Caenorhabditis elegans: one gene and its partners. The protein of the gene in region 4 interacts with the protein of the main gene of each other region in a biochemical or structural test. Each region holds a gene or a part of one and is shown on either strand. Other genes may lie near its edges. The genes, in order: dsh-1, mpz-1, dlg-1 and sre-28.

What was found.
Region 1: the proteins of sre-28 (region 4) and dsh-1 form a complex in vitro, tested with the Caenorhabditis elegans proteins (one study listed by BioGRID).
Region 2: the proteins of sre-28 (region 4) and mpz-1 form a complex in vitro, tested with the Caenorhabditis elegans proteins (one study listed by BioGRID).
Region 3: the proteins of sre-28 (region 4) and dlg-1 form a complex in vitro, tested with the Caenorhabditis elegans proteins (one study listed by BioGRID).

What each region holds. Positions count from the first base shown.
Region 1 is NC_003280.10:5,213,946-5,223,592, forward strand, and holds dsh-1 (DiSHevelled related), read right to left. Parts: upstream 6,730-9,647; coding exon 5,211-6,729; intron 5,097-5,210; coding exon 5,021-5,096; intron 4,723-5,020; exon of another isoform or gene 4,519-4,722; intron 3,710-4,518; coding exon 3,588-3,709; intron 3,541-3,587; coding exon 3,300-3,540; intron 3,246-3,299; coding exon 3,070-3,245; intron 2,632-3,069; coding exon 2,395-2,631; intron 2,347-2,394; coding exon 2,179-2,346; intron 1,887-2,178; coding exon 1,720-1,886; coding exon of another isoform or gene 1,678-1,719; exon of another isoform or gene 1,175-1,677; intron 1,100-1,174; coding exon 987-1,099; intron 705-986; coding exon 578-704; downstream 1-577.
Region 2 is NC_003280.10:10,774,360-10,780,767, forward strand, and holds the start of mpz-1 (PDZ domain-containing protein), read right to left. Parts: upstream 3,768-6,408; coding exon 3,715-3,767; intron 1-3,714. Other genes in the region: ect-2 (Protein ECT2), read right to left, coding at 4,583-4,733, 5,122-5,251, 5,314-5,455, 5,550-5,625, 5,674-6,101, 6,152-6,277, 6,326-6,404.
Region 3 is NC_003284.9:5,478,071-5,487,146, reverse strand, and holds dlg-1 (Disks large homolog 1), read right to left. Parts: upstream 7,448-9,076; 5' UTR 7,387-7,447; coding exon 7,365-7,386; intron 7,156-7,364; exon of another isoform or gene 7,045-7,155; intron 6,929-7,044; exon of another isoform or gene 6,651-6,928; intron 6,483-6,650; coding exon 6,166-6,482; intron 6,090-6,165; coding exon 5,871-6,089; intron 5,824-5,870; coding exon 5,727-5,823; intron 5,680-5,726; coding exon 5,589-5,679; intron 5,536-5,588; coding exon 5,184-5,535; intron 5,128-5,183; coding exon 4,821-5,127; intron 4,763-4,820; coding exon 4,294-4,762; intron 4,236-4,293; coding exon 3,712-4,235; intron 3,629-3,711; coding exon 3,346-3,628; intron 3,299-3,345; coding exon 3,177-3,298; intron 3,122-3,176; coding exon 3,021-3,121; 3' UTR 2,206-3,020; downstream 1-2,205. Other genes in the region: C25F6.1 (Condensin-2 complex subunit H2), read right to left, coding at 494-651. UniProt on the Caenorhabditis elegans protein: Essential multidomain scaffolding protein required for normal development. Recruits channels, receptors and signaling molecules to discrete plasma membrane domains in polarized cells. Required for proper embryonic elongation.
Region 4 is NC_003283.11:9,941,491-9,946,987, reverse strand, and holds sre-28 (Serpentine Receptor, class E (Epsilon)), read right to left. Parts: upstream 2,596-5,497; coding exon 2,123-2,595; intron 1,980-2,122; coding exon 1,823-1,979; intron 1,637-1,822; coding exon 1,514-1,636; intron 1,467-1,513; coding exon 1,342-1,466; intron 1,298-1,341; coding exon 1,093-1,297; downstream 1-1,092. Other genes in the region: nlp-58 (Neuropeptide-Like Protein), read left to right, coding at 150-347; fipr-12 (FIP (Fungus-Induced Protein) Related), read right to left, coding at 3,376-3,586, 3,636-3,649.

The DNA of each region.
Region 1 (9,647 bases), on a different chromosome or scaffold from region 4:
ATTGTACAGGATTATAATTTTACGCGTAGCCTTCCATGGGGTTTAGTAAGACTTGTCGCAAATACGGACAGAATGAACCTCTCCTATTCTCGACTAACTTCTGTTTAGAATATAAAAGGACTATATCACCGGCTTATGGCACTCGACTCACTCCACCGAGCGGCGACACGTCTTAAGGAACCACCCTGCAAGCAACTCCAACATGGCCAAACGTCTACAACAACAAAGGAAACCCTTTCACACAGGAACTCTAGGATCAAAAGGATGCAATTGAACTGCCAATAACACCGTGGAACAACCTTTGCTACCTTTACGTGAAAAGTCATATCCGATGTCTATATAAGGAGGAAATTGTGGAAGAAACATCAGTTTTGAATTTACTCAAGTGAACTCCATTTGCTAATGATAATATATAAATAAAGTATTGTTAATAAATGAAGTTTATAAATAAGCATTCCACTGAACCGCCTTCGCGACAAGAATTAAGAAGGCGGCGGATAAGCAAAAATCTTGAATAAATAACAGTTTTTATACAGCTCAAAAAGTAAGCACCAAAACATTGAATTAATATTAACAGTTAATACTCGTATCTTTGTCCAGTTGCCATAAGAAATGAATTATTTGATTCTTCATAGATTGTAGAACTATCATCAAATGGAACATTTGCAGACGATGATGGTTTTCTGGGAAGAACAACAACTCGTCTGAAATATTTTAAAATTATATTGGGAGTTATTTCGAAAAACTATGTCAAAAATGTTAGAGTCTACCGTGTTATATAAAATTGGAACTTTTGAAGTCAGAGAAATTCAGACGAAAGTTTTTAAATTTCCAGTGCCTCACACTTTTCACTTTTTTCCAACTTAAGAAACAAGTTCTTTTGGTGTGGTTTTGAATTTTATTTTTTTCTTGAAAATGTTTAAAAAAGCTATATATCTTTACAAAATACAAAAATTTCTTTGTATGTTTATAGTGGAAAAACTCACTGTTTTCTAATTCCACCGCCACTACTTCCACTGGTTGTACTTCCTTCTCTTCTCTGTTGCTGCAATTGAGCTGGTGGGAATGGTGAAGCCGGCATTGATGCATATCCACTTACCTGTTTATATATTTTTCAAATAATATATTTCTCACTTTGCAATGTTCGTGTGGTGTGAAATATAACAACATTCTTTTGATTCAGAATATTATTTATTATTCTGTCATTCTTGTGGGTGGCAACATTGGACTGATACATTTACATGCTACTGAGAAATGAGGGGGCGAGAAAATAACAATGATATCGAATATAAACAATAATTTTAGGGCAAATGCAATAGAAAACAAGACGTTTTTTTTCTTAGTATAGGGTGCATCTATTTCAGACAAGGATGTGGGGAACTCGTGAAGAAGATCGCAATTCGTGTGAATTTGAGAAGGAAATGCAACAAAAAATCGACGGACAGATTCAAAAATAGAATAATCAAATAAAGGAAAAACATCCAAAATTACAATCACCGGGAACATATGAAATTTTGATTCATGATTGGAGACTTAGAAGTTACAAAATATTAAATTAGAACTTATTGTAATACCGGGTACATGGTGTACTGTGAGAGAAACTATTTTGAATTATGCCATTTTGGCATTGATTACCAGACATAATGAAACATAAACATGAAGAAAAATGATGACATTCTAAATGTGCATTACATACATGCGCGATTCGCCGTCGCTTACCATTGACGGAGCCATCCCTTTAAAAGCTCCAGGAGGGCCAGCCATACCTCCAGGTAAATGTGGGGGTGGGAGCATCACAGAGCTTCCGTTGCCAGCAGACATTCCGTTCATTCCGATGGTCCATTGGTATTTGGGTCCACCATCTTCATTTCGGAATCGGGCATAGTCTGGAAGTAATTTAGAAGATATAACAAGAAGGGTTGAATTTCATGTTTTGAATCAGGCAGGGCAGCCTTGAATGCAACCAACTTTTTTGCATTCCTATGGAGATTACAGGCAGACATTTTTGTGCATCAGTGAAAAATTTGTTTTAAAAATATAATTTGAAAAAAATAATTTTTTAAAACAAATTTTTAACATTTCAGTTCAAAAAAATTGCATTAAAGATTTCAAAAGACCCACTTCCATCTTCATATACAAAAACTTTGACATTTTCCGAATAAATGTATACTTTCCTACCTGAACACTCATCTCCAAGGACATAATAGCACTGCTCAGTGAATGTGACCTTGTTCACCACATGTGCAATATACTTTAATTTCAGTAAATCCGCCGCAAAGTTTCGTGCTGTCTTCCGTTCTCGAAGCCCTTCAACATGATCCAAAAGCCATTCGACCAGATCAGATCCTAAAATTGAGAATTAGAATAGGCTCTACACGTTCATTCAAAACTTACCCAAGAACGACATGGGAATCGGAATTTTGAGCCATGTTCGATTTTTGATATCAAGACCAGAGCCAGGCATAGCCATTATTTCGACAACCTTCTTTTTGTCAGTGTGTATATCAAGAATAATATGAGCTCCGCCGCCGACTACTGTATTTTGACCATTTGATCCGTTTGAGGTCACCGTTGAGCTGCTTGGCGGTCGACCATGAGGCCATTCACCAGGAATTGGTGTCGGTGCACTTTCTGGAAAAAATTTTTTAATTAATAGATATTTGTAGGAGAATAACGTAGAAGAAGAACAAAAAACAACATCGAGGCTGTCTTCCTGCCTGCCTACCTGTTTTCAAAATTTTGGTGCAGAAAAAAGGTTTGACTTAATTTTACATTCAGCCTTCAAAATTAGAGATGTGAAAAATTTCATATTTTTATTTTTGTTTCAAAAAAAAATTGAAAATTCCAAAAAGCTTTCCAAATGTTGTTCTACTTTAAAATATCCTAAAACATCAGAAGTCTGAAAAACATCAACTTGAAAGTAGCGAAGAAATGCACTGAATAAATTTCAGCCTGAAGTTGAATAGGTTGAGAGTGCAGCTTATAATTTTGCAAAAAATAAAAAGATCAATCAAATAACAGGCAGGTATTTTGTTTAGTTTTTCTACACTTCCAATCAAAAAACCATACCTTCAACTATACTTGGCATTCCTCTCATTGCATTCGTATGCTGGATCCATGCTTGAGTATCGATTGGTCTCACAGGCTCTTCTCTGCTATTCCTTGGTATTGTGAAACAACTTTGCCCATTTTCAAAACTTTTCGCCACAGTTAATTTGATGGGGCCACGACGGCTAACAGCTTCTCTGAAAATTCATATGTTGAAGAATAAGCTCTCAGTAAAAAATAATAATTTTTACCGTAACACATCAACAGCTTGATCGTTAGTGAAATTCTCAAAGCTGGTCTCATTGACTTGTAAAATCATATCACCAGCTTCAATTCTTCCATCCAATGCCACTGCACCTCCCTTCATGATATTTGCTACGTAGATTCCATTATCACCACAATTAGAAGTTTGACCAACAATTGAAATGCCAAGGAAATTGACTGTATCCATATTGAGGTTCACTGTTATTACATCAAGGCTCATAGAGGACTCTGGAATTCGAATGGTAAAAGTTATGCTAATTTCGAAGAGGTCATACCTGTGATACTTGAAAACGAAGATGCTCTAGAGGGTTTTCGGAAATTTCTTTTATTCTTCTTTTTCTTTGCCATTTTTTCATGTTGTCGGGATACTGATGTGAAATCGGTTGTTGTAGAGCCTCTGAAAAATTGAACGTTTTATAGTTGAAATTGTTATAGATTTTTCAGAATTTTCAGTCCAACTTTTGAAAATTGAGTCTTATTGAGAAACTTAAAGAAGCTTTGCATATTCGATGCCCCACAAAATAAATACAAATGATTTTAAAATTTAAAAAAAAACTGTAGAAATTTTTTAAAATCGAATTATTAATTTATGATAAGCGAAAACTGGTTAATTTCCATTTTGGACTGTAAATAAAAATTTCATAATTTTTTGAAAATCTTACTGTGGTTTTCAGTGATTTTTGCAACTCGTGAGTAACTTTGAACGTTATCAACTAAAATTTTACATGGTTTTCACTAGCTAAAAAAGGAAAACTAATGAGAATTGTGTTCCGTGAAATTCTAAATATAAGCGGAGCACTGCACAAAACAAAATGTTCAAATTCCTTAAAGTTACAACCTAGAAGTTTGTTCCACAAAATCCGAAAAGAACTGAAAGATTTATCGAAAGCAATTATCCACTTCTCATCCATCTCTTTCCACCCGTTCTCACGTCCTTTTCTTCCCCTCCCCAATTTTTATTAGTTTCCTTCAAATAGTGCACAACACTAAGAGCTTGTTGTGATAGTCACTACCAGGCTTTAGCTAGAAGATAAGCGCCAAGCAGGAATTGCTCAAATTTAACGAGCTGTGTCTTATCGCAGAATAAATGAACTGACACGTCGCGAGTTGTGGCACCCGTGCTGCTCGGCGGAGCTGTTCCAATTGCATAGTAATAATCAGAAGTTGAAGTGGAAGTTGTTGAATAATAGGCTTTACCATCAGAGCTTGCGAAATCATCGTCAGTTATGTAGCCGCTCATTTCACTATTTGAGGAGCGGAAGGGCGAAATCATTGGGGGCAGAGTGAGCGGGGATGAAGGCCCGCTTTAAGCCTAGTCATTTGTCACTTTATGTGACAGACAGAGAAGACACAAAAAAAGGTATTAACTATTTGAGAGGCAAAATGAAAACCATCGAATTTTTGAAAATATTTAAAATTTAAAATTTCAAAGGGGTATTGCCTATTCGTAAACTTGGTTTTGTTTTTATGAGTTGTTATATTTTGAATGTAAATTTTTTTCAATGTTGCATATTCCTTGAGATAGCCCTGCAAGACCTGAATGTAGCCCTATTATAACTTAAACTTTTGCTTTAATTTTTTATAAATAAAAATTTGCCGAATAAAATACACTAAATTTTGAAAGGAACACTGTCACCAGAGTACTGGCTTTACATAAAAATTCAATGAAATGAAACCTATGTTTATAAAATTAAAAAAAAAAACATACCTATCATCATCATCTGAAAATACTCTTGCATCGGATTCGGAGCCAATTGTTGATTCTTCGAGATGTCGTCGGTGCCCTGGAATTTAAGAAAACTTAGAATTCGATGCTTTTTCAAATTTTCATAAGATTTTGTTTTTTGAACCTATTACCCTTTACTTGATCACATCATTTTTCGCCATCATTTACCTACCGATCAAATAAAACGATGCATCTGCACTAAGTTCAGAGGTTAAGGATAGATGTGACGTCCTATGTAGAAATCCAATAAGATGTCTTCTCGGCGAAGCATCCGGTGCAACATCTTTCCTTCCTTGATAAGTACTTGTTGTATTTGATCCGCCGTACCTTCGCATTCTGCGCTTCTGTGCTCGATCCGCTCTCTCCTCTTCCACCATTGCCGCTGTACTTGCTGTTTCTTCCTCATAAAGTGGCGGAAGCGATGGACTAGTTGGAATCAGTGACATTGTACGGCTCATTGTGCTTCTTCGTGAAACAAGAGGTCGGCAATCAGATGATAGACCACTTCCATCTACAGTGACCGGCCGACACCTATCGATTCGGTTCAAACTTCGACTTTCAGATATAGTAATACTAGGAATAATAGGTGGACGATCGGTGGTTATTTGACACGTTTTGGATTTTCTGAGCTCCCTAGATGGCGGAGCAAGTGAAACAGGGGAATCAGGAGCCGCAAGGGAAAAAGTTGGTCTGGCTAATGCTGCAGCTGGTGCAATGAGATCCGGTGGTGGTGGCTGAGGTGGGCTCAGATTCTCTTTGAATTCTTTAGTATTAGATCGAGAACTTGATGGTGATGGAGATGCAGACCGAGATTTTGAACCACCAAGTGAAGTTAAAGACGTTAAACTTGCAGCCGAGTGGGACAATCTGATAAGAGCTCCAAAAAACGATGAAGAGGCGGAACCACCACCGGACTCTTTTCCGTTGGCGCCTCCTGCACTTTTTTCGCTTTGTTTCCGTCGTTGTAAAAATCTGCGCTTCGTTGTCGTCTTAGTATTATCCCCCTCTTCGTCGTTACAATCATCTGATGCTTTGCTGGTGCCGGGAAACAGGAGAGCCCCCTCGCTGAGCCGTTTTTTAAGTGGACCACCGAGCGCATTTGAGACCATCTGTCGCCATGTGGATCCGGCAGGTGTATGATTATTTGTGAGATCAGTTAAAGTCCGTTTTAATCGAAATGGTGCCTCAGACTCCGGCTCCACACGACTTTTACTTCTGCTCTTCTTCAACTTTTTCCCCGTACTTGGTTGCTGCTGGCTTCCTGAATTTTCCTTATCATCAGAAGCTTTGGAGGAAGGGAGAATGTTGTTCAGAATTTTCAAATTTCCTAATGGATTTCCTGTATATTTCTTCCTTCTTGGACTTTTTACAACTTCCGAGACGATAGTTTTCTCATCATCAACCAAATCAAGATCATCAATCTTAGCAAGTGGTGGAGCCTTTTTCTTCTTTTTTGGTCTTGACGATGTATTTGTAGGTGACGTTTTCAACTCAATCTTGTTAATCAATTGTGATACAACTCCCGGCGAGTGTTGTCGATTTGGTGGAGGAGCCGTGTATGTCGAACGGACTTTTCGTTCTTTTGAAGTGAATAATAATGAGCGAATCATATCAGATGAAGTGGATGGGGTATTTGAGGAGCCAGAAGGAGATGGAAGGGCTCTATCTCGAGCTCCAAGCTTGATACTCATTGCTCGCTAGTGAGCTATGAGCAATCGTGTCGTTCTCTAGAAAATCGGTTTTAAGTTTTTGATAGTAATAGAGCTGGGAAGTAATAAAAAAGCTTGAAGGTAATAAAAAGAAGAGAAAGAAACGAGAAACACACCTCGATGGGGGGTCATAAATTTCCCAGCATCCCATCTTGTGGCTCATGATGCACTTGGATTAGAAACAGATACTTTCGTTTTACTTTTATCATGTGCTGGGAATTTAGAGAGAAACTGAGAATTTAATAGTCGACACATCGGGAAAGTTGGTACTCAAAATAATCCTGTTGACACCATAAACACTGTCGTTAAACTTTAATCGGACTTGACATATGTCATGTTAAATCTCAATTGACTCGACTATGATAGTGACATCTAAAATTGATAAATTCCTATATAATGAGAAATGCAAAGATTGAGATATTATAATTTTAATATAATATAATTGGTCTATGAGTTTGTTAAGATTCAAGCCATAACAGTAGAAAAATTTAAAAAAAACTCAAGTTTTTATACGCTTAAATCTCGATGTTATTTTGAAAGACAAATGTTTGCTTTCATTTAACTTTTATTTAATTAATCGTTAACATTCACTGATACATCTAATAAAATTAAAATTATAGTTCAATACGTTTCGGTCGAAACTATGTGGCTATCAATTAATAAGATTTTCCCCGTTTCGCAAAAGAGCTTCAGAATAAGTGTTACCATTTCTCAACTAACAAATTTCTTCAACTGGTGGGCTGGAAAATGGCACATGACAACTAAAACCAAGAGCTCACTATCAGTTATTTATATCAACAAATTGCAACTTGACTTATGGCTCACAGTCAAACACCGCAGAGATCCAGAGGAAAACACAATTTGCTATGGTCAGATTAAATGGCAGTTGCTTAAAGAATATTGATCGAAAATTTTTCATCATGACTAGTTGAACAAAGAGTTGCAAATTGATCTCACTGAAACATGTTGCAATGGCTCTTGATGATGACGAAGTATAAAATCAAATGTTTGAATCCACCTACACACATGGGCTAGCAAACATTGATCGGAGGCAGGAAAAGCGGATAAAGCATAGAAAAGATCATTATCAAACTGTCTTTTCTCCCCAAAATCCCGATAGGTATCATGATAGAAATCACAAGTGAGGGATATCCGAAAGTAAATAAAACCACAGATCTCACTATTATAAGGCAGATATCTATTTTCGTGTTAACGAGAATGAGAGCAATATTATGAGATCCTGGGGTGGGTACTAGAGACTATTTCGACACAAAAACGATAATAGTGACAAGTAGAAACATACACAGAAATCGACAAGTGAGCGGACAAAAAAAACTAACTAAAAGTGGGGTGAAGTGGTATGAGGTCTCGAGAAGAGTGTTCAAGTGGAGAGAGAGACAGAAGGAAAGCATCTTGATAAACACTGTGATAAACTCATCGGTCTTCGGGTTTTCATTCCCACTGACGTCGAGCACAGAGATATAGAGAACGGTTTCTCACAAAAAGTGGTGGAGCAAGCAAGGAGCCCGGTTGACCCCCTAACAGAGAAGTTCAAGGACTAATGTTACAAAAGATCGAGAATTGGATGTCAAAGAACATATTTTTCCAATTAACAATGCTTACAAATTCTACCGTACACTACAGTTCTTAAGGTCGCAAAGAGATATTTTTGGTATCTGGTTAATAATTTTTTATTCTCTAATGTCGAAGCTAAACTAAACTAGCTGTGACTTGTTCGCAATTTACCATTTTCAGATGTCATTGTCAGATATTTCAGAACAAAAATTTTTGAAATAAAACAGCTGGGTAGCCTTTCAATGCAACTAGATATCCTGAAAATAATAATCTATTTGTTTCAAAAGTAACAAAATACTTTTTTTTTAATTTTCAACAAAAGAGAGTTTGGATGAATTTCTAATTTGGAGGAAAATTAAAACAGATTATAAAATACGAATTTTATAGAATTTGAGAATATGCTCCTCAGATTAAATTTTCAGAAAAACACAATGAACTAAAATACTTTGAAAAGAAGTTGTACACAAAAGGGAGAATTTCAATTGATTTATACACCCAGCTACCAGGTAATAACCACAATTATGTGATTTTAATTCCACGTAATCACACTGGGGAAATCATCGATATGTATGTGTGTGTGTGTGATTAAATTGAAATGAAATGAAATGTATGTATAAACATTGAATGAAAGCAAAGAAGGAGGAGATCTCCACTCATTGAAATGTGTGTTGGTTGGTTGACTGGCAGCCAGCCAACAAGATGAGCCCAGAAGATAGAATTGAAACAATTGGTCCTTTCTCTGTGCTCTCTCATTTCTTTATGATCTATGAGAAGTGATCTGGGAGATCGGCTCATTAACACCAACATAAAACATGAAAATCAACGGAAGGACATGATGGGGTGAAAGTGTTGAAATGATGTGATCAAGATTTTATGAGGGGAAGTTTTATTGGGTTCACTGACACAATGTAAAAGTTTGCGAGAACTTTCTTAAGAACTTTTTGAGACGAGGTTTTTCTTCCAATTTTTTCTGAAACACTTGGGACCAAGTTCATCGTGTTTCCCGTTTCTCAATTACCCCAAAAGCTAATGTTTGTTTTTTTACCATACAAAGCCTTGAGCCATCTAAGCATTCACAAAAATGCTCACTAGCCTTGACAACTGGCTATACGTGTAATTAGGCACTTTTGTGATTGCATGAGAGGCCCACAGATTATTGTGCAGAACTATTTAAAGTGTTTTTTTTTTGAAATCGAGTATATACCCGTTTTCCAAAAAACAAAAAAGAAACTAACCCAAATAATGTTGTGGAAACCGTCGATTATAGGCAGCACTCTTCAAGTATCCAGGAATTGCTGCCGAGATCATTGATTCCGAATCGGTGC
Region 2 (6,408 bases), on a different chromosome or scaffold from region 4:
CTGCCTACCGCCTATTTTCGATGCTTTTGTGAGTTTTGATTAGAAAATGTAGGCACGAATTTGGAAAAAATTGAAACGCCTGAGAAAAATCAATTTGAAAAGATAACATTGAAAGAAGAAGCTGAAGCTCATTGAATCTTTCAATCGTTGTCAATGACCAGCATTTGATAGATGGAAATATTGTTTGATTGGGAGAGACGGCAGACATTTGATAGAGCATCGTAAGAGCACCAAGAAGAAAATTTGAAAATGAGAGTTTATAATATTTCGAATATTTCGAGCAATATGGTGTTAAAATATTGGTGCTACTATTTTTTGAATTTTTTTTCCAAAAAATGATATTTCAAAAGGTTCTCCAAAAAGAAACCGAACATGTCCAGACATCAATAAAACGAAAGAAAACTACGAATTGCATGTCCAGTTTCATCTTTATTTTTCCTACGGCCGGAAAGGTTGAGTGAGAAATGAACGGGCGGACATTTGAAATTTGAAATGTCCAATGGAGCTGTTGTTGGAAATATTGGAAACAATAAATAAGGGAAAGGGACATTGAAAAATGAAAGAAAAACGAGGATTAGGAAGAAAAGACGAAAAATGAAATATGAAGAAAAAAAGTGGAAATGTGAAAAAAAACGAAGGAATGAAGGCGGAGAAGATGGAAGATGAGGAGGTCGAAAAATGGAAGAATAAACACTTGGGCATGATGGATGGAAGGTTCGTCTTCCAAGAAGTTTCAGTAGAATTGTGTGCATTTTAAGAAAAAAATGTTCTGGAATATTGAAAATGTGTACAGTAAGACTGGCATGATTTTGGTGTACGTAAAGTGTACGTCCGGTTTTCCAGCAATAGTGTACAGTAACCATCCATAACCGAACTCATATCGAAACATAATCTACCAGTTTCGAGCTGATTATCCAAGGTCTCAAATCATCGAGGCGACCAGCTTCTTTTTTTTTCAAAAAAATCTTTACTTAAAATTCACATTTTGAAAACTATCCATTTGTTGGAAAAAAGCAATTCGAAAAATAGGCCAAAAAATCCAAAATTAGGGCAAACCTGAAGGTGACCTCTGCCTGCCTCACGCCGAAAACGCCTACGCATGACTGTTACGCCGACATTAGTTGTAGAGAACAAATTTCTAGGGATAATTGATAAAAGTTCTTTGGGGAATTATTAAACTTGGAGGCGGAATGAAAAGTGCTGACAGCATATAGATATTTTTAAAAAATGTTAAACAAAATACTGTACGACAGAAATGGAAAAAATTGTCATAAATCAGAAAAAACCAGAATCTGGAAGTACACGACGTCTATTTTTCTATTCCTCCCCGGAGTGCGAATGTGATGCATTTGTGTGTGTGTATTTCTCTCCATGTGTGTGTGTGTGTTTGTGGATAATTGAGCTATCGTCTTGCGTTGGAGCAGAAAGACGAAAAGAAGAAGAAGAAGTAGCAGATGAAGAAAAGAAAAGGAGTTGGCGGCGGAGGAGCTGCCGCGGAGTAGACGGACGGAGAGGAAGAGTAGGCGTGCTCTGTGTTGGTGGCTAGTAGCATCTTGAGAAGAAGAAGAAGAAAAGACCAGATTTATCCGATTGATACGGGTGAGAAACTGGTGAGAATCGATGTCCTGTGGAAGCCAGGATTGGTTTTTGAGAAGTTAGTTACATATTGGGTGAGAAGGTTCAGGTGGAAACACCCGTCTTCGCGTTCTACTGAGGCGCGACAGAATGTCACCCGTCACTCGCCTGTAAAATGCCTTCACAAAAAAATGTAGCCAAGCTTAGAGGAATGCGAAAATTCTAATTACTTGGGTGAAGCCTGTAGGTACCGTATGGTAGAAAATAGTATGACAACCCTAAATCAAATCTATTGAATCTTTTGTTGAAAGAAAACAAAAAGATACGGCAACTTATAATATTATTTTCCAAAACTATAAACAATGAAGCAACTGTTCGGAAATATTGTTCTTCCAGAAAGGAAAACGGGAAAGTTTAGGTTTTCTTCCAGATGATGAAAGGTTTCAGGTAAGCTCCCGGAGCCCCGATGCCAAAGCGTTCGGATTGTTATCTCAATAATACGGTCCTTGGTCTCGACACGACAATTTTTTCAAATTCAAAAAGGTATGCGCCTTTAAAAAGTACTGTAAATTCGAACATTTGTTGCTGCGGAATTTTCATCGATTTTTAATACTTTTCTTTCCCATATATACATTGTTACAGGCGTTAAAAAATCGATCTGCAATGAGAAAAGTTTGTGGCTACAGTACACTTTAAAGACGCATACCAGTCTGAAATTAACAAAAAAATTATCGTTCCGAGACCGGGTACCGTATTTTTGGAGTAATGGGGTTATTCAAGTAATGTAGCAAAATGTATTAAAATACATTTGTGACGTCACAAATGTATTTAAATACATGTTTTTATATACTTGAATAAGGTTGTGACGTAATTTTTCTACACTTTTTAATTTTCCGACACTACTTGAATAACCCCATAACAGTTCTGTGTACAGAAAAATCATTATGCTTAAATCAAGTTTCTATTTTTTTTAAGTTTTTCTGTTTTTTTTTATACTTCCGAAAACAAAAGCGAAAAGGTGTTCTAGCGTAGTTCCCAAGAGTCCTTAAATTCATCTTTCTCCTTGTCTACTTCAACTCTTCCGAAACGGATGTAACATTGAGCCGGCTCCGGGACCCCCGCCCTTCTCTATGCACCTTTTTTCCCACCAAACAACGTCCACTTGGCACAATGCTATTTGTATAGGAATCAGGGAAAAGGGCTTTTTCGAAAACTTTTTCGACTTAGTTTACTTTTTTTTCTTTTTTGGGGGTGCATGATGCTTCAAGTCATGATGCACCATGTCTATAATATGAAGAAAAATGAGGCAAGAAAGGAGGGAAAGTGTATTAAAAGAACAACATATGGTAGTGGTACTACACAAAGAAACATTGGAATAAAGATGGGACCAAGGAAAAAAACGAAGAAGAAAAAAGATGAGGAAAAGTATAGAGGAGATGCATAATTAGAAGAAGAAGCAGAAGAAAAGGAAGACGTCTCCTTCTGGACGGGGGGACACCAAAAATGGAGTACAAAATGAAGGGTCTAACTATATTATTGAGACATTGCATTTCCTTCGTTCTATTAAAATATATTTTCCCCCTTTTTTTGCCGCAGCTTTTTATAACCAAACTTATAACCAGCTTTATTTCATCAATTTTAACATACAAATAATTTTAAAAAAACAGCCTAAAAACGAAACTGGCGAAAATTGACTGAAAATGTTCGAATTTCTAGTTTTGCCGCCAATTCCTAACGAGACCCAACGTTTAGGGGCGGGGCGTTTTAATTTGGCAGTGGAGCGCGATCGTGCCCCAAATCAACTGATAAAATGTATGAGAAAGTTTTTCAAACAGTCTCTTATTATCCAATTGCGAATTTTAGCGATTTTCCCCAATAAAATTTGGAGGCTGCGCGAAAAGTGTGCGCGCCTTTAAATTGTACAGTAACCCAGCTGCGGCGTTTTCCATTTTTCTTCGATTTTATTCACTTTTACCAGAAGTTTCAGTTTTGTTTCTGAACAAAAAATATTTTTCTAGCAAGAATGTGTGGAAAAATCCGAGAAATTATCGAAATAACGGGAATCTGCGGGTTATTGTACTTATTAAAGACGCACATCTTTTTTCTCGCTTTCGAATCATTTTTTCTTTTCAGACCTACCTTCTTTCGGCTTCATCTTCAACTGCTATTATATCCTCTGGCTCATCGATCATTCAATGATGTATTCCAGATTCTGAATCACAATTAATTAGCTCGAATTTTAAGAAGATAAAAAAAATTTAAAAATCTGAATTTAAAATATACTAATATGCAGGATCCTGGCCAAGACGTGTTTCGGAATGAATGAATAAAAGCCAAGCGGCATGTGCTCCAAGATATGAAATCTCCAGGGGCCATCTATAAGGCTCCGCCCATGTTTCCTTTTTCTCACTAATCTCATCTTTGTTTCTTTGTTTTTAGAGAGTTCAAAGACTTAAAGACAAGTAGGGTGTAATTTCATTTGAACCCCCTATCGCATTTTCTAACAAGAATAAAATTTGAATTTTCAAAAAAAAAGAAAAAAGTAATCGTAACGTTACTGTGGGGGAATGACCATTCAAATGAATGGTGAGAATAAAAGGGGAAAGGGGTATCGGATAAGAATGGCATACAAGTGATTTCGGGGAAATAATAAAAGTCAAGGAGCAATGGTCACACAAGCCTCGGGGACAGGAAGATGATAATGACGATTTGGGGGGAAAAATACACCTGTGGTAAATGGTAAATCAGTATGATACAAAGGATCTGGTCGTAGTTGTGGATGGTGATTACGGTAGTTTCGGTTGTTGTAATTACAAAAACGAAATGAAAAACTACGGGTGAAAACATGAAAAATGTAAGAGGGAGGGAGCTGAGAGCAAGCAAGAAATAAACCATCAAAATACACCGGTGAGCATCTGGAGGTATGAAGCTCGGAAAAGAGTGAGAACGAATTATTTATCAGTCGGAGGAGAGATTCGAGTTATCAGTTACACGGGTGCGGGGAGTTTCAGATATCGGTGACACGATATGAAGATGTTTTTGAGCGAGGTAGTTCCTTTTCCGAATGAGCAAATCCGGTAGCCTGACGGCGCATCGACGTGTTTCGTCCGAGTATGTTGTGTCGGCCGCCGAGGAACGTTGTCGAGGTGAGGCGAGAACTGAAATAACTAACAGGATATGTTAGATGTAGAGTGTCAATTTGGCATTAACTCATGGGAAAATATGGTCAATGAATGAGGCAACACGCCTTCAAGATCCGGCCGAAAAGAAGATCTACTAAAAGAAGATCTACTAAAAGAATATCTACAATGTGAAGATCTACGGCTTCAGGATCTGGCACCGTGCCAATTAGAAATTTTCGTGGTTTTCTCGAAGAAAAACGTGACAACAAAGGAGCATCATTGTTAAGTTTTTCTTCGATAAAACTACGAGTATTTCTAGTTGACACGGTGCCACATCCTGAAACCGTAGATCTTCAAATTGACTTTTCGGACAGATCTCGAAAACGTGTTGTCTCCGATAAATCTGTGGGGTGCATTGACGTACCGAATTCCTCGCTTTGGCGTCGATTCAGATTCGCTTTGGCATCCAGGCAATCCGCCGACTGACGTCATGTTTGCGAGAGCTGCTGGATCACACGAAACTCTGGGAGACTGCAGAAATGTCGTGTTCTCGTCTGAAATTAGTGAATCAAATACAATTTCAGAAGAAAAAAAAATAAATTTTCTAAAAACGCACTAATTTGTCCCAAGTTATTTCGACTCTGATTTCTGCCAAAGCCCAGCGTGGTGGCAAGTGTGAGTTGAGCATTACTGAACGCTCGTCGCATTCGACTCTGTGACTGTGGTGGTGGCATAAACGACTCATTGTGTGACCATTCCTGTAATAAAAGTTTATATATAAGCATTCAAGTTAGGTGTAACACTGTGGACAATTTTAATTTCTCCACTCATGTATCAAACTTCATTTCTCACGTTTTGTGTAGATCGTTCACTGACCGTAATGTTCATCTGACTGCCGTGTCCATATTGTGGTTTCGCTCCGCAAAGACTGAAATTTTGATTTTTTCTAAAGACTTGAAACCTGAAATAAGCCTACTTTCTAAAGTATCGAGTTGTCATATCCGAAACCATCGCATCGTTGATCTCATTCATATCTGATGGATCCGACGAGTAGAAGAATCTCCCACAATCACTCAAGATCTTCACATGAATATCGTCGAGAAAATCTCGAACCTCTTCATCATCATTCGATTCGAAGACTGTGTCAATGTCACCACCTTGCTCGTCACGATGAATCAGGCACCATACAAACACATTTGGCTTTGTGCTTCCGTTCTGCTGCTGCAACTCCAGACACTTCGCAATCTCGTCGGGAGCACGAATTCGGAATGCACTACGCATCGTGTTCAACTGTATCTGGTCAATGTACCTGTAGGGGCGACGCTGTCTCGAATGTAAACTGGCAAACGACGCGTGACGAGCTAGACGTTGCATTGTATTCTTCTCGCTGCGTATTTTCGTGATCTGAAATTTCAGAATTATTATTCAAAATAATTATTTAAAGACTCTCTTACAATTAGCACGTCATGAAATAAAAATAATTTCATTTTCGCAAACTGCTGTAGACCTGGCGACGTACTTGCAATCGGAGAAACGACCAACTCTCGTATGAACATTCGATTGGCAGCCACCAAAATTGGCTGTAAAAAAATTATTTTAACATCTGTTCAACAAATTTCCGCGCTTACTGGAACATTTTCAATGTCAGTGAACTTGCTCAGATGGGAAATGAAGTTGTCATTCTTTTCACGAGTTTTGTTGGCGGTTCTGA
Region 3 (9,076 bases), on a different chromosome or scaffold from region 4:
AAAGAATGTAAACTTGGTCAAAAAATGACAGTTAAAATTTTCTTTTTCAAAGTTTTCAAATAAAATTTAAAATTTCTGTCTAGCCTTGGTGAAATAATACAATGAACGTTTTCTGGTTAAAACTGCTCTTATCCCACTAATTTTTTGATGGGAGCCATTTAAAGCTTGTTCAAGAAGCCTTTTTTAGAATTTTGGTTTAAAAAACTTTAACTGAACACATTGTGAAGCCTAAAAATGTTTGAAGTATTATTATAACATCCTTTTGGATATAACATTTCCAAAGTTTTTTTTATTTAAAAACATTTTTGTTTTTTCCCTGCAACCGCATATAAATTTTTGTTCAAATATTTTTAACAGAGTGAAAATTTAATATCACATTTTTGGACCACAATTTTGGACATACTTCCACATACTGGTTATTTTGGAATTAGAAAATTTCTTGAACGTTCAGAACAATTATTATTAAAGGATTATGAGCTAAATAAAACATTACGTCAAATCATCCTCTTCTTCGTCACTTCCTTCCGACTCTGTGGCGGAATGTGCGAGCACGTCATCATCGTGAACCAGTGGAGGATAAACCGGTCGTTTTGGCATGTATTGATTAAATGCTTGCACTAGTTCCTCTTGTGTCATTTTCATTTTTGCCATGGTTGATCTGGGAAATTTGTTTTTGAAGGTATTTACGAATTCAAAGAAGATATACACAACTACTATATTATTTTGAGATATTCATTATTCATTTTAACTTTTTATTAAACATTATTTTCACTAAGAAATTCAGTTAGTAAACCAGTAAACAAACATTACAATAGAATAAAATTAACTGTCTCATTTTCCAAAAAAAAAAAAACGAATAATAAAAAATAAAGAACCGTCATACAAGTTGGGAATGCAAACAAATTTGTGAGAAACTAGTTAAGAATATCCGATAAACTTTAATACGTTCATAAAGCACGCACGTTCACACGGAAAAGACGTCAACCATCCTATTGACGCGTTTTGTGCGCGCACACGAAAAATTGCATGAAAGGGGGTCACTGACATGACCTAGCTCAATTATTTTACCCTTTATTTTATCTCAATGGTACTATGGTAGAACTGAAATCTTTTAAAGTTATTTAAACCGTAAGCGATATCATACTATTGTTACAGAAAAATTAAAGCGTGAACATAAAAACAATGAAACACATTTAATGAGGCAGAAAAGAGTAAAACAAGTAACTTTGCTATGTAAAAATAAATTAAAAATGAGAAAATGAGGAACTATTCTACAATTATAAACATTCATAAATTTAAAATCAAGATATCAATAAAATAAAAAAGATTGCTCCCGGTGAGGCTCGAACTCACGACCTTCAGATTATGAGACTGACGCGCTGCCTACTGCGCTACGGAAGCACTGAACAACGTCTGCAAAGTAGGATCAAAAGAATAAAAAAATGTTCTTAAATTCGAGCCAGTCTGTGTTTCAAATTAACAAAATGTGAGATAAAATAAATTGCTAGCTTTGACTCAAATTAAAAAATGAATTTAAACAGTTAAATTAAAAATTAAATTAAAATTACAGTTTTCTTCATGGCAACTTATGCTACTTGGGAAAACTTCAAAAAAAAAATTGCTCCCGGTGAGGCTCGAACTCACGACCTTCAGATTATGAGACTGACGCGCTGCCTACTGCGCTACGGAAGCACGTTGTGAACTCTTCACAAAGGACTTGAGAAAGGATGCAAAAACTGAGATCCCAAGTGGGACAGGGATTTGAAAATATCACAACTGTAAATAGTCTAGTTGAAAAATCTCAAATTTAACTCATAGTCAGTAATTAAAATATTATTGATATTTTAAAATCATTCTAATCTTATTTTGCGTTTAAAATACATGTTTTTTTCGTTAATTGAAAGACTAATAAAATATCAGGAACAATATTTCAGTCGAAGAAATATATTAGGCAAAAAAGATTGCTCCCGGTGAGGCTCGAACTCACGACCTTCAGATTATGAGACTGACGCGCTGCCTACTGCGCTACGGAAGCACATTTCGAAACGGATTCTGAAGAGTACTTCAAATCCTTTTGTTTCGGAATTTTTCCAGCGATCTAATAAAATGAATATTTTTAATGACAAATTGCCGCAGTCATTTTCAGAACACCCTGATATACTGAAAATAAAGTTTTTTCTTGTTACTTCAACACATGTATGTTTTGCAGATGCAATAAAATCTTTATTCAAGATAATTTGTATAAAAAGTTTTTAAAAATAATTAAAAAAAAAAAGTTTGGAACCAATGGATGAAAATAAAATGCTCTCAGAGTAATAAAAGTCCCAAAAAATAGAAATGAGCCGAAGTTTTTCATCAGTAGAGAGTCGGGAATATGATAATGATTTGCGGTTAGTAGAGACAAATGAAGCGTTGAGAATATCACAAACTGTCACAATTTCAAGTAAGAAGTGAATTGAGTTGGGGGAGGAAGGAGAGGGAAGAAGGAAGGAAAGCTGGGGCGGATTATAAAATGCAAGTATTTGTAAGGTGAATTTCAAGATAAAATGGGCTGTAGAGAAAACAGGCAGTACAAACTATCGTAGTAAAATATTCGGAGACAAAAGTAGAAACGATTCACCGTTTTCTGGCAGTGATTGTGGAGAGTTATGATTGAAAATGAAAATAATGAGCAAGGTAAAAGAAAAAAAGAATCAGAAAACTATTGAAATATTGGCCTTTCACGTTTCTGAGTTCGAGTAGTAGAGTTTCTTGAATTGAGAACTTGGAAAGGTCATGTAAATTAATGCATAATAGGGAAGGGGTACTAAACAAAATACAAATAAAGATGGGGATGGAAACAGGATAAAGCAAATGACATCAAGAGTTTTTTCAAAGGATCACTTTTCTCAGATTAAAAAAAAGTATCACAACACGGCGTAGTCTAATTATTAAGGTAAATTAAACTGTATATTAATTAATTTCAAGAAGACATATTTCTTGAAGAAACGATTATTTGTCTAAAAAATATCCAATTTCATCTAATGACGTGGCACCCAAATTGGCGTCTGCGATTCACGGCTGATGATGGAGTACACTTTGCTCAAAACGTCATTCGCGCTGTGCACATTTGAGATTTCTTCTGAAATAAATAAAAAATCAGATATTTGATAATAATGGTTGGAAAAAAGACATACGCGTGAACAAATCCCCGAAAGTTTGCTCAATTCTATGACATCTGGAATACTGCGCTTGAGCTTCTTCGCCACTCATCGCTCGATCGTCTTGTCGGTTGGTGGCAAGTTGGCTGTCCAATTCACTGAAATTTTGCAGATTGATAAAGCTTCTTTTTACAATTTAACTTACAGAATCTGTTGTGCAGAGCTGGGCTTGATGAAGATCGAGATTGGTTGAATATTGGCATTGCTTTGAAGTCGTCGGATAGCATTTCCACTGACGTCCAGAATACAGTGTCTTCCTTGGTTGGCGACATCTCGGACGCTTTGAATGCTAGTTCCGTAGAGATTGTTTTGGAATTGTCCCGCTTCAATGAAGAGATTATTCTTGACATCTTCCTCCATATTGTGCTTGTTGACAAAGTAGTAGTCACGTCCGTTAACCTCTCCCTCGCGTGGTGGTCGGGAAGTGTCTGAAAAGGGTATTATGAGTATATTGCACATACTATTTAGAAATGTTCTCTTTTTTAAAGTAGTTAATAACTTCACAACTTACGTGGAACGCAGCTACTGAATTTCGAAGGGTCGCGGTTGACAAGTTCATCGTTGATTCGGTCTTTGAGAGCTCCAAGAATGATCACTGGACGAACGTAGTTGATCGCCTGTTGCTCAACTGCCTGGTAGGACCACACTGGCTCTTCAGCTACATTTGAGGATTCCTCATTAAGATCGTTGAGCCGGTCGGTACTTTTGACGAATGGGAACTTTCTGGAGAAGGAAAGCTGACTGCGGCTTCCTCTTCGGTTTTCCAATCCAGTAGTGCTCGAGTTTCTTCCAAGAGACTGCGATCCCGAGTTGAAGTTGACTTGCTTCCGACGAAGTCGTTCTCTCTTCTCGACACGTTTCTTTGATGGAATCACTCCTTCAGCTGTTTCTTCTCCGTTTTCGTGAACTTTTCTAGCTGTCCACCATTCATCGTCAGATGAGTTGATGATATGTAGGATGTCACCATAGTTAAATCCCATTGATCTATGGGGAGCAACAGAGTTTTCACGTGATGGATCATAATCGAAAAGTGCTCTGAAAGATGTTATTCGTTGATATATGTATACATTTATAAGTAAACAAATCTTCTTACCTAACATATTCAGACTTTCTGCTCAAAGTTCCCATTCTAGATTGAGCAATCACGTCGTTTCTCAGCTTCTCAATTTTGGACTCAAAAATTTGATACTCTTGTGGTCTGTACTGAAGAGTGAGATAAACGGGATTTCCAGCGTTTCTCAATGCTTCAGCTGCTTCCTTATGGGTTGCATTTCTCAAAACAACTCCGTTCACTTCAAGAAGAACGTCTCCAGTCTTCACGTTTCCACTAAGATCAGCAACACCTCCTGGGAGAACAAAACTGATGTAGATGGGCTCATTGTCTTCTCCGCCAACAATGTTGAATCCAAGTCCATTTTGGCCCTTTACAAGTTGTACTGGACGGGGTTCGAGTGGAATTGCGATGGGGGCTTGTGAACTGTAGCTGGTGTTCAGTGGTCCTCCGTAAGACAAATGACTTTGAGATCCCATTTGAGAGCGGTTGTAGTCTTGAACGGAGCTAGCTGAAATGAAATTAATTAGAAACTATATTATTATTTTTGATTCTTGGGATTGTCTTACGTCTGAGAATTGGGGTAGTTGGCATGAATTGTTGGCTCGCCGAGTCATTGAAAATTGCCCCAGTTCCTTGCTGAATAAGAAGTCGAACACGATTTCCAGTGTTTTTGAGAACATTGACCGCATTTTCATGAGTCGTGTTAATCAAAGAGTGATGATCAACTTCAAGAATCTTATCTCCGACTCTTAATCTTCCGTCTAATTCAGCTGCTCCCTCCTCAATGATTTTCGTCACATAGATATCGGTATCTCCTTTAACGTGCTCGTTTCCTTGACCACCAGCAATAGAGAAACCAAGTCCACGTGCTCCCTAAAAAAAGTTCACATAGATTCTTTTGTACTTTGGAAAGAGAAAATGTCGCCAACCTTAACCAGATCAATGACGGATGTATTCGGTCGTGTGGAACGATATTGGCCAACAGATAATTGGCTCAATGATCCGTGATGAACTGGTGGTGGCGGTGGTGGATGAATCGGAGCCGATGGAGAATGAATTGCGTGTTGCAAGTTGCCGGCGCTCACTGATGGAGTGACTCCTGATCTGAGGTAAGAAGTCGACCCGCCAAAGTTTCCTCCAATTGGAAGAAAGGCTTCATCTTTACGCCGTTTCAAACTCAACGAAACAACGTTTCCGGAGCTTTTCAATGCGTTGACTGCAACCTCATGCTTCACATTTTCACAGTTTGTATTGTTGACTGCAGTGATAATATCATTCTTTCTAAAAAAAACATGACCATAAAGTTCTGTTCATCTTAAATTGCGGTTTTTTACCTCATACGCCCATCAGCAAGTGCGGCACCTCCTTCAATAATATTGGTGACATAGATAGAAGTATCTCCGTCTTCTGTTGGTTGGTCCATACCTATAATCAGATATGTTACATCATAAATACCGGTTGAACGCGCATACCTCCAGTAATCGAGAATCCAAGGCCGGTGTGACCTTTCTCCAAGACAATATTCTCAAGCTCCCATTTACGACCATGATCATCGATAACTCCAGTATGCTGAATATATGATAATTAAAACTAATATTGAGCCAAAATTATCTTACTTCAACCACACGTCTTTCAAGACCACTTGGAGTGTCAACTGTTCTTGTGGTTGTTTCCCGCCATGTTCCATCATGACTGGTCTGACGTTGACGCTCATGAAGGTAGTGAGTGCTGGATGAGTTGTACGGAGAAGACAGAAGTCCGTTTCCAAGTCCATTCCCAAGCCCGTTTCCAAGGCCTCCGCCGTTCAAATACGAGAAACCTCCCCGATCTCTCAGCTAAAATAATTTTTTTTATAAAGTATTAAAAAAATCTAGAATCCAAATCCAGAGAAAAAAAGAAAGCAGAGCTTACATCTGAAATAAGTGGAGTTGTGCTTGAAAGGTTGTAGTTCGACGTGGAAGTCGTCGCAGCCGGACGACTGTTGTAGGAGTGTGGTCCACCTTCGAGTCGCTCAATCACACGCCTTACTTCCATATTTTTCTCTGCATCTGATTTTCGCTCGCTGAGCAGCGTCTGCTCGTACAGATCGTGAATGTCGAGCAACGAATGCATCAGGTTTGATTTGAATGTGGTGATAACTCGTTCCAGGTTTGTGCGTAGCTCCTCATTGCCGTGTCTTGTCAGTGTCTGGCAGTAGTCCTCCACATTTTCTATCGCTTTATGCGCTTCTGAAAATACAGTTTCATGTTCAGTTATAATTGTTGTAGGATTATGCACATCCCAAGTCGCAAAGTGTAACAAGTCTAGGTTGATGACTCATTTTGCGGCAAAACATGGTCAACAAAAAAGGTTATCATGCGCTTTCTTTCCCATCCCGGCAAATAACGATGAGTCACCCTGCGAGGATGCGCAATCTCCCTCGTTTTCCCTCCTTTCTCCCCTTTCCCTTCGGAATGTACAAGACTGGCCCCGGAAAGATGTCTCCGATGAATAAAGGGGAGACTCCTGGTTGGACTGTCGGACACGTACACACACCATCACAAACAGATTGTTTTCTCTTTGCCCTCTTTCTTTTTGCCTTCTATTCCTCCCACTGCGTCTTCTTCGCCTTCTTATACAAATATAATGTTTGCACATTCAGAGACGCATCCTCACCATCATGCGCGCCAGAAAGCATTCACCTGGCGGGGAGGAGGAGGAGGCTCCGAGTAGTGTGAACTTTTCGAAAACGTATATAGCAAAATTATTACGTATATGTGTATGTGTATCGAAATGTGTAAGTGTCAACACCACAATACCTCATGAGGCGGGGTGGCCGTATTTGGCAGTTTCGAGGTGATAAGAAGACTGTTGAGATGCGATCATCGCATTGAAGTCATAAGAAGGCAGGGAAAGGGGGAGCGTAGAAAACGCAAGAATGTACATAAGTTGGTGTGTTGCCTTGGCTAATTCTGGTCATTGTGACATTGAGTTTAACGACCACGGCGACCGTAGGAAATGGGTTCGGTGATAATTGGTTAGGAGAAAACTGTGGCAAACAATTGAGATTAGTGGACATTGAACGTTTTGCAAAATAGAAACAGTTTGAAACTTAAATGTCTAGAACTCACTTTCCGATGACTCGTGGGACATGCTTCCTTCCTTCGGTGAGGCGTTCTTCCCACTCCGATCGGTTTTCTTTCGATGCTGGTCGCTGAAAATTGAAAAAATTAAATTGATCAACAAGTTTTTGAGACTGAAAATAGAAATAGACGACTGGTTTTAATGCTTCTAATAATCTAAAAACAGAGCTCGGTAAGAAGGAGGCATTGAAGACGAAAAGGAAAAACTGTGCGGCGATAAGACATAACTTATCAGAAAGAAACAAGAATTTACGGCAAACACACGCACACACACACACACATACACACAAGCAGGCCGCCATTGAGTTTGTTTTAGCGAACTTGATGTAAATAATAGAAACAAGATGCAGAGCAAAACGAGCAGGGGAAGGAGTAAATGAAATTTTTTGAAAAATCTAGGAAGATTCATAAATCATAATCCATCGTGGATAGAAAAATAGAAGGATATCCCGTACATAGAAGATGGAAGACGCTAGGTTTCGCATTTCACTTGTGTCGAGTCATGGATATGTTTATTTTTTGTTCGGCAATTCCCACCAACTATTGGTATGATTCAGTAGGTTGGATGAGGGGGAAAAATATAAATATTCCTCTCGTCTTCCTCCGGGCGGGTCGCATCTTACTCTAGATTAGTATCTACCAGAAGGGAAGACTGTGTGTGAGAGATCTGATAGATATGCTTGAGTAGAAGAAGAGGTAAAAAAGAAGGGCGTTTGGGTATAAACGGTGGGGGTCTTCAACGTTTATTGGACACCAACCACCTCCGCCGGTGGTTTTATTATAGACGCGAGGCGACAAACCGCACCATCGGAGAGGGACCTGGTAGGAGGAGCGGGGAGTCGATTGTTTTGAAAGGTTGTCATCTAATTCAAAAATTAGTAAACTATTATTAGGTATTTTTATCTTTGGATATTTTGTAAAATTCTGAATTTAAATAAAGGAGATTAAGTTCGGAGGGTTTTGGCTCCCTGGAAGGTTTCATAATGAGTCCTGAAAAATAAATCCAAAAATTTTGGATTAAGTTTATTTAAATTAACATATTCCTACAATTTGTCTTTATCACAGATGCCAAAAATATATACAAGCCAGAAATTTTAAATTGTTACCACCCCATCACGTCTCTTTAAGTTAAATAGTTAAAATTATCTTCGCTCTAAAATGTATGTTTCATTAGAACACTAACAATTTTATCTAAACAAAATGGGGGTTTTATTAGAAAATAATGCCATAAAATTGTATAGTTTGAAATTAATGGTCACAGACACGTCTGCAAATTTGAGTTCACAAAAAATATATTTCAATAGCCACTTGATTTCCAAAGAACTGAACAAAAAACAGGAACAAGTCGACTTGAAACAAATCACAGTGTCGAAACATAAATGGTCAAGATGAGAAGTGGAACAGACCCGGCCAGCATAGAAAAAACAACACTAACTTATGCGTCACGCTGTGTGTGTGTGTGTGTGTGTGTGTGAAATTATATTCAACATGTACAAGCCAACGGGACATTAGTCACGACATGCGGGAAGAAGATAGCGAACGTCGTCTATTGTACCAAAAACATGCCGGGAACAAATGCGCCAAAAAAGTTGTGGCGAGGCGAATACTCTACTACTATTTCGAAATATGGAATTAAAAAAGTCATATTTTTTTCTATTTTTTTAAAAAGGTTTTTTTAGTGCGCCTTGACTGTAGCGATT
Region 4 (5,497 bases):
ACATTTTCAAAGTAAAATTAACTTCGGAGGTGATGTTTTTAGCATTTCTTCTCCTTGCCAACTTTTAATAGTAAACTTTTAGCGCACGCGTAAAGTCAAAAAGTAAATCTAGTGAAGCAGTAATAAACTGTATAGTATCCAAATTACAGGCACAAGTATACTGGCCTTCTCAATACAAACGAAGTGGACCATCATCAGCTTCTGAAGGTGAAGCTTACGCATTCCCGGGCCTTCGTGGTTTACGCGGAAAGAGGGATCCAACTTATCACAAACGAGTGCCAATGATGTCTTTGAAAGGACTTCGGGGTAAACGTGCACGTATCTTTGATGGACAAGAGGAACAATAAAAATAAATAGAACAATATCAACCAGCAAAGGAGGAATTTCTGTATTTTGTGCTTGTGGTAAGTTTGAAATTGTATTGTTTGTTCGTATTGTTATACTTTTTAAGATAAAATAATTTCAATTTTCAGATTAACTTACCATCACGTTGAAATGTGTGCTCTGATTCCAACCGGCTCTTAAATTTTTTTTATTGTCTCCCGTACTCTTTTCGTTTTTTTTCTAGTTTGAATGATTGCATTCTTGTATCATTCTCATCATGACCCAATCATTCACAAAAATTCTTTATTTCATAACTCTGAAAATGAAGTCATCTGAGTTGTTGTTTGATGTTTCAAGTACTTCTTCAAAAGCACCATTTATGCAAATTGTTCCTGTTTAGTCGGCTTGGGAAGACAAAGGAGAAAAATAAGGTGACGGGAAAAAGTGTCCTTTATTGACATTTTAGAAGGGAGCTTTTTATAGTTTTTTTTTGGTTGTTTACTTGTCAACCAAACATGAAATTGATGGATGGTGTAGTGAAGTTTACATGTTTTTTGTCGCCGGTGAATACATTTATATAACTTTGGTGTGCACCCATCTGTTATGATATGAAGTACAGTACAGTGCTCGCAACAAATAAAATCACAAAATTATATTCGTGTTTAATTGTTCTTTAAAATTGGTATTCATTAAACAAGTGTATTTCTACTTTCATTTACACTTTGATGAATCGCTGGAAAAATTAAAAGAATAAATATTGATTAACATTTAAACCCAAGAGTCATTGAGCATTTTGAAGTAAGTTTGAGTTTCAATTTCAGTATTCTTTCTTGAATCCGCGATTGACAGAACTGTTGCTATCTTCACTTTTTTGGCAATTCCAAAATACCGACAACACGGAAAATATTTTGTAAATTCATTTCTCCACGCATGAGTGCTGTACATTGTGACTGTGCATATAAGGAATGGATTTCTGAAAAAATTAAAGGTGGATGTATTGTAATATAAAAATCTCACAGGTAAATGCAGTTTTCAACAAAATGACATAAAAATGGTGGAACCACTTCAAGAATGAGCGCAATAATCCCAACACCACAAACAACTACAGTCACAATAACTGATATAACCAATCTCCTGCCAACCTGAAAAGAAGATTATAACTGATTTCAAAAATGAAATTTGAATTTACTCGTAGAGCACGTAAATTCTCCTTCACTTGAAATCTTTGGGAAATAGTGAAGAACTTTTTTCGTCTCGGGCTTTCCATTTCACATTGCCAGTCGTTATTTATTTTCTTGATGACAAGATGAAGCTGGAAATAGTAGCCAGAATTTGTTGAAATGTTATCTACTCAATCTTTTTTTATTTTATTTTCTTCTCTTTTAAAAAATACCATCAAACTATTGTAGAAGACAATTTTTAAAATACACGAATGCAGTTTTTTTAGCAAAAAGTATTCAAACTTTCCAACGTCAAAAATTACTCACTATCAACTTACAATTACTGATATTGCTCCAGTGAATATCCAAAAACCATTGAATGCGAGTATTCCAATTATTTCAAAAAGATTTCCCAATGCAACAGTAATTGAAAAAAATTGTGTTATTGCAATGAGTACAACAGGAATCCAAATTTGTGTACTTTTTTCGTAATTGCTGAAAAATTAGTTTCAAATCTCTTTTTCTGACAAATTAACGCTTTTCCGTGTGTGAAATTATTAAAAACGTTTTAGAATTATGTTAATTACTTGTTATAATTATAGAGTACATTAATTTACAATTTAATACTTGAAACTTACTCTATCAACATTGAAGCAAATATTCTTTCAATACAAATTGCAAGAATACCAAAAAGCATTGAAAATATGTAATGCCACTGAATAAAACCAGACAAAATCAACATTTCAAGTCCATTGATAGATTTGACAACTAACATTTTTTCAGTATCAGCTGTATATAAAGCAAAAAAATATATTTCATGATCGATAACTTTCAATATTTTTAAATTATACAGCATTACAATCATTTTCCCAATAATAGCCTCGTACCAAAGTCCAAACATTGGAATTGATAAAATTATAAAATTATAATGAAACAATTGTATTTTGAGGTACACTTTGAGGCAAACGCTGTTAATATAAAAAGCGAAAAAATAAAAAATAAGTTCAGTTATTGAAACTATAATTCTCACAATATCGGGTTCATTGTAAAGATAAACAGGTAACCAGAAATAAGAAGAATCCGTTGGAGTTTTCTCCAATTTTAAAATCATGTCTTGGGTTGAATAATGAACAAGAAAAACTTTATGAAGAATAAAGACAATCTTTGATTTTCACCTGCTCTCCTGTTTTTTTTTGGTATCAGAATTTTTGATGTGAATGCCAGCGGGACGATTTTTGAATTTCAGCAGAACGGAGCGATTTTATCACGTCATGATATGAAAACCCTCGGTCACCCTTATACAATAAATAAAGATTATTTCCTCGAAATTGTTCTCATTTTAAGTAAAGAAGCCCCTTTCAAGGTCATTGCTGGCAAGTTTCAGAAAGATCTAACTTGACAAATCAAAAATAAATTGTTGGCCGAGCTTTTACATTTTTTAGGCCACGTAGCTAAAGACGCTCTGTGAGTGTGTGAGCAAACTTTTACAAACCCATGTCATTTAAAAAAGTAGATTAAATAGCTAGGCATATTTTCGTCGAATTGAATAGCTGCAAAAAGTTAGGATTTTACGCAAGTTCTGTGATTTTTTGACTTCGAAAGTGGCAAAGACTTTTACTGAAAAAATTCAGATCGACTCTTTTCTTTGTTCGAAAAGCTCCTCTGTTGTTAATTTTCTGTTGAACCTATATAATATATGCAAATATTTCTCAAAAATTATAGATTTATATTCCATTAAGCAGGTGGTTCTCGCTGTTGATCAGTCAAAAAATGTTCAGATTTGTGACCTTTTACGGTTTCGTACTCAAACTATTATAAATTTTCATTTAAGAAGCAAACTAAAAATGTTGTTTATCCATTTATTGTGGTTGAAAGATAGAGAAACACAGAATTATTTGGTTTGCTGAGTTGGGCCAAATCCAGCTTCTCTCTTTCCATAATATCCATATTCCCCGTATCCATAAGCTCCACCATAGTATCCATTATATGCTCCGGGACCATATCCTCCATAGTATGTTGGGTAATATGAAGAGTAACCATAGTATTGAGCACTTGTTTCTTGAACAATTGAGCACATGGCAAAAGCCAATACACAGAGAAGGCTGAAAATTGGTTGCATTGAAAGTTATAAAATTATTGAAAACTACTTACAATTTAGCGTTCATTTTTAAAATAATCAGAAGAATAGACGAGTTCTTAATTTGAACAAAGGAGAACAGACCTTTTTATACTACTGCCTAACTATTTGCTTTAGTTTTACCATTTTTCGGGCAGAAAGTGTCAAAGTTGGTTGACTTACTGTTCAAGAATCAATTTACATTTAGATATTTGCAGCTCATAATCATTCAAATGAGTCAATGATGAGAACAAATTGGAATGGCAAAATGAAATAAAGTTCCGAAATTAATCAAACTTATTTTCCAACTTCAGGACTCTTGTGTTCTTGCCAACCTCGGCCTCCGGTAGAATTCTAGTTTATATTTAAATCTCTAGGGTCAGCTCACATGATTTTAAAACAGAAAACTAAAAACTATAGGTGTATTGTTTTCACATCATCATTTCTCATTTCATTCCATCATCAAAATGTACATAAACTGGGCTCATCACTATATTCCAAAAATCTTTGCTTCCTTTGCATTTATAATAAATCCAATTTTTGTGTATTTGCTGTTTACGGAAAAATCAAACAAGTTTGGCCATTATCGATATCTTCTGCTATTTTTTGCACTATTCAACATATTCTACTCCATTGTGACCATAGTCGTACCAATAGTAATGTCTTTTTTTCACAACTTCTTCCTTTGCTCTTCATAGTTCTTTCTAAGATCAATTTTCCCAAAAACTGAAAATCGTCAAAACTTCCAGGACATACACACCAGGGGTGTGCGGCAAATTTGCCGAATTTGCCGAATTTGCCGAGCACGGCAAATTTCAAAAAAGTAGATTTGCCGAATTTGCCGAGCTCGGCAAATTTCGAAATTTGCCGCACACGTCAAAAATTTGACAGTACAATTTTGACTAAAACTGTTGATTTTTTCGCCAAAAATTTAGTAAAATGACAACAAATTGAGTTATTTTGATGTTTAAGCAGACACACTACACCTAACTTGTTCAGAAACCAGAGGTGTGTTAAGAATTCAGTAGTTTTGATGCTCCAAAAAATATCAAAAAATATATAATTTTTCCGAGTTTGTTAAGCACGGCAAATTTGCCGAATTTGCCGAATTTGCCGAGCTCGGCAAATTTTGAGATTTGCCGCACACCCCTGCTTCATACCACAACAGATTGAACCAATTATCTTGTTTCTAGGAAGCATCAGACGACGTTATCATAAGATCTTGGATAGCAGTTGCAGGAATTTCATTATTTTCTATTGATTTATATGCAATCTTCGGCTTTTTGGTTAGTTAAATCCTGAAGTAATTTAATTCAATTCTGATTATTTAGACAATGAGCAAACTGACCGAAAACACGTTACATATGAGTAAAACCACAACAACCATTCAAAAAGCTCTTCTTAAAGCTTTAATTGTCCAGACAATTATACCGATTTTTGTCATTTTTTCCCCATGTATTCTTTGTTGGTTCAGTCCAATTTTCAACATTAATCTTGGAAGGTAAATCAAGATATCCGGATTCATTTGGCTATAATTTAAATATTACAGAGGATTTAACTATCTTGAAGTATTGGCACTTTCAGCATTTCCATTTTTTGATCCATTGGCCATTATTCTCTGTCTTCCTCCACTCCGGAAACGTGTTCTCTTCAAAAAATCAAAGACAAATATTACTAAAAATTGTGCTCTCAATTGATTTTTAACTGACGAAAACTTAATCAATGATTCCATTGTTAATCTTTTCTTGAAATTTCAAACTTAAAAATGGATACGTTCATCCAAGCAATTAATTTTATAACAAGTCTAGTCAGTTCCAGGCTCCGTTGGGGATTTATGAGTTTCAACTTTTACAAGATCTGGGATGTTCAGAAGACAACAATGAATTATGTATCTTCA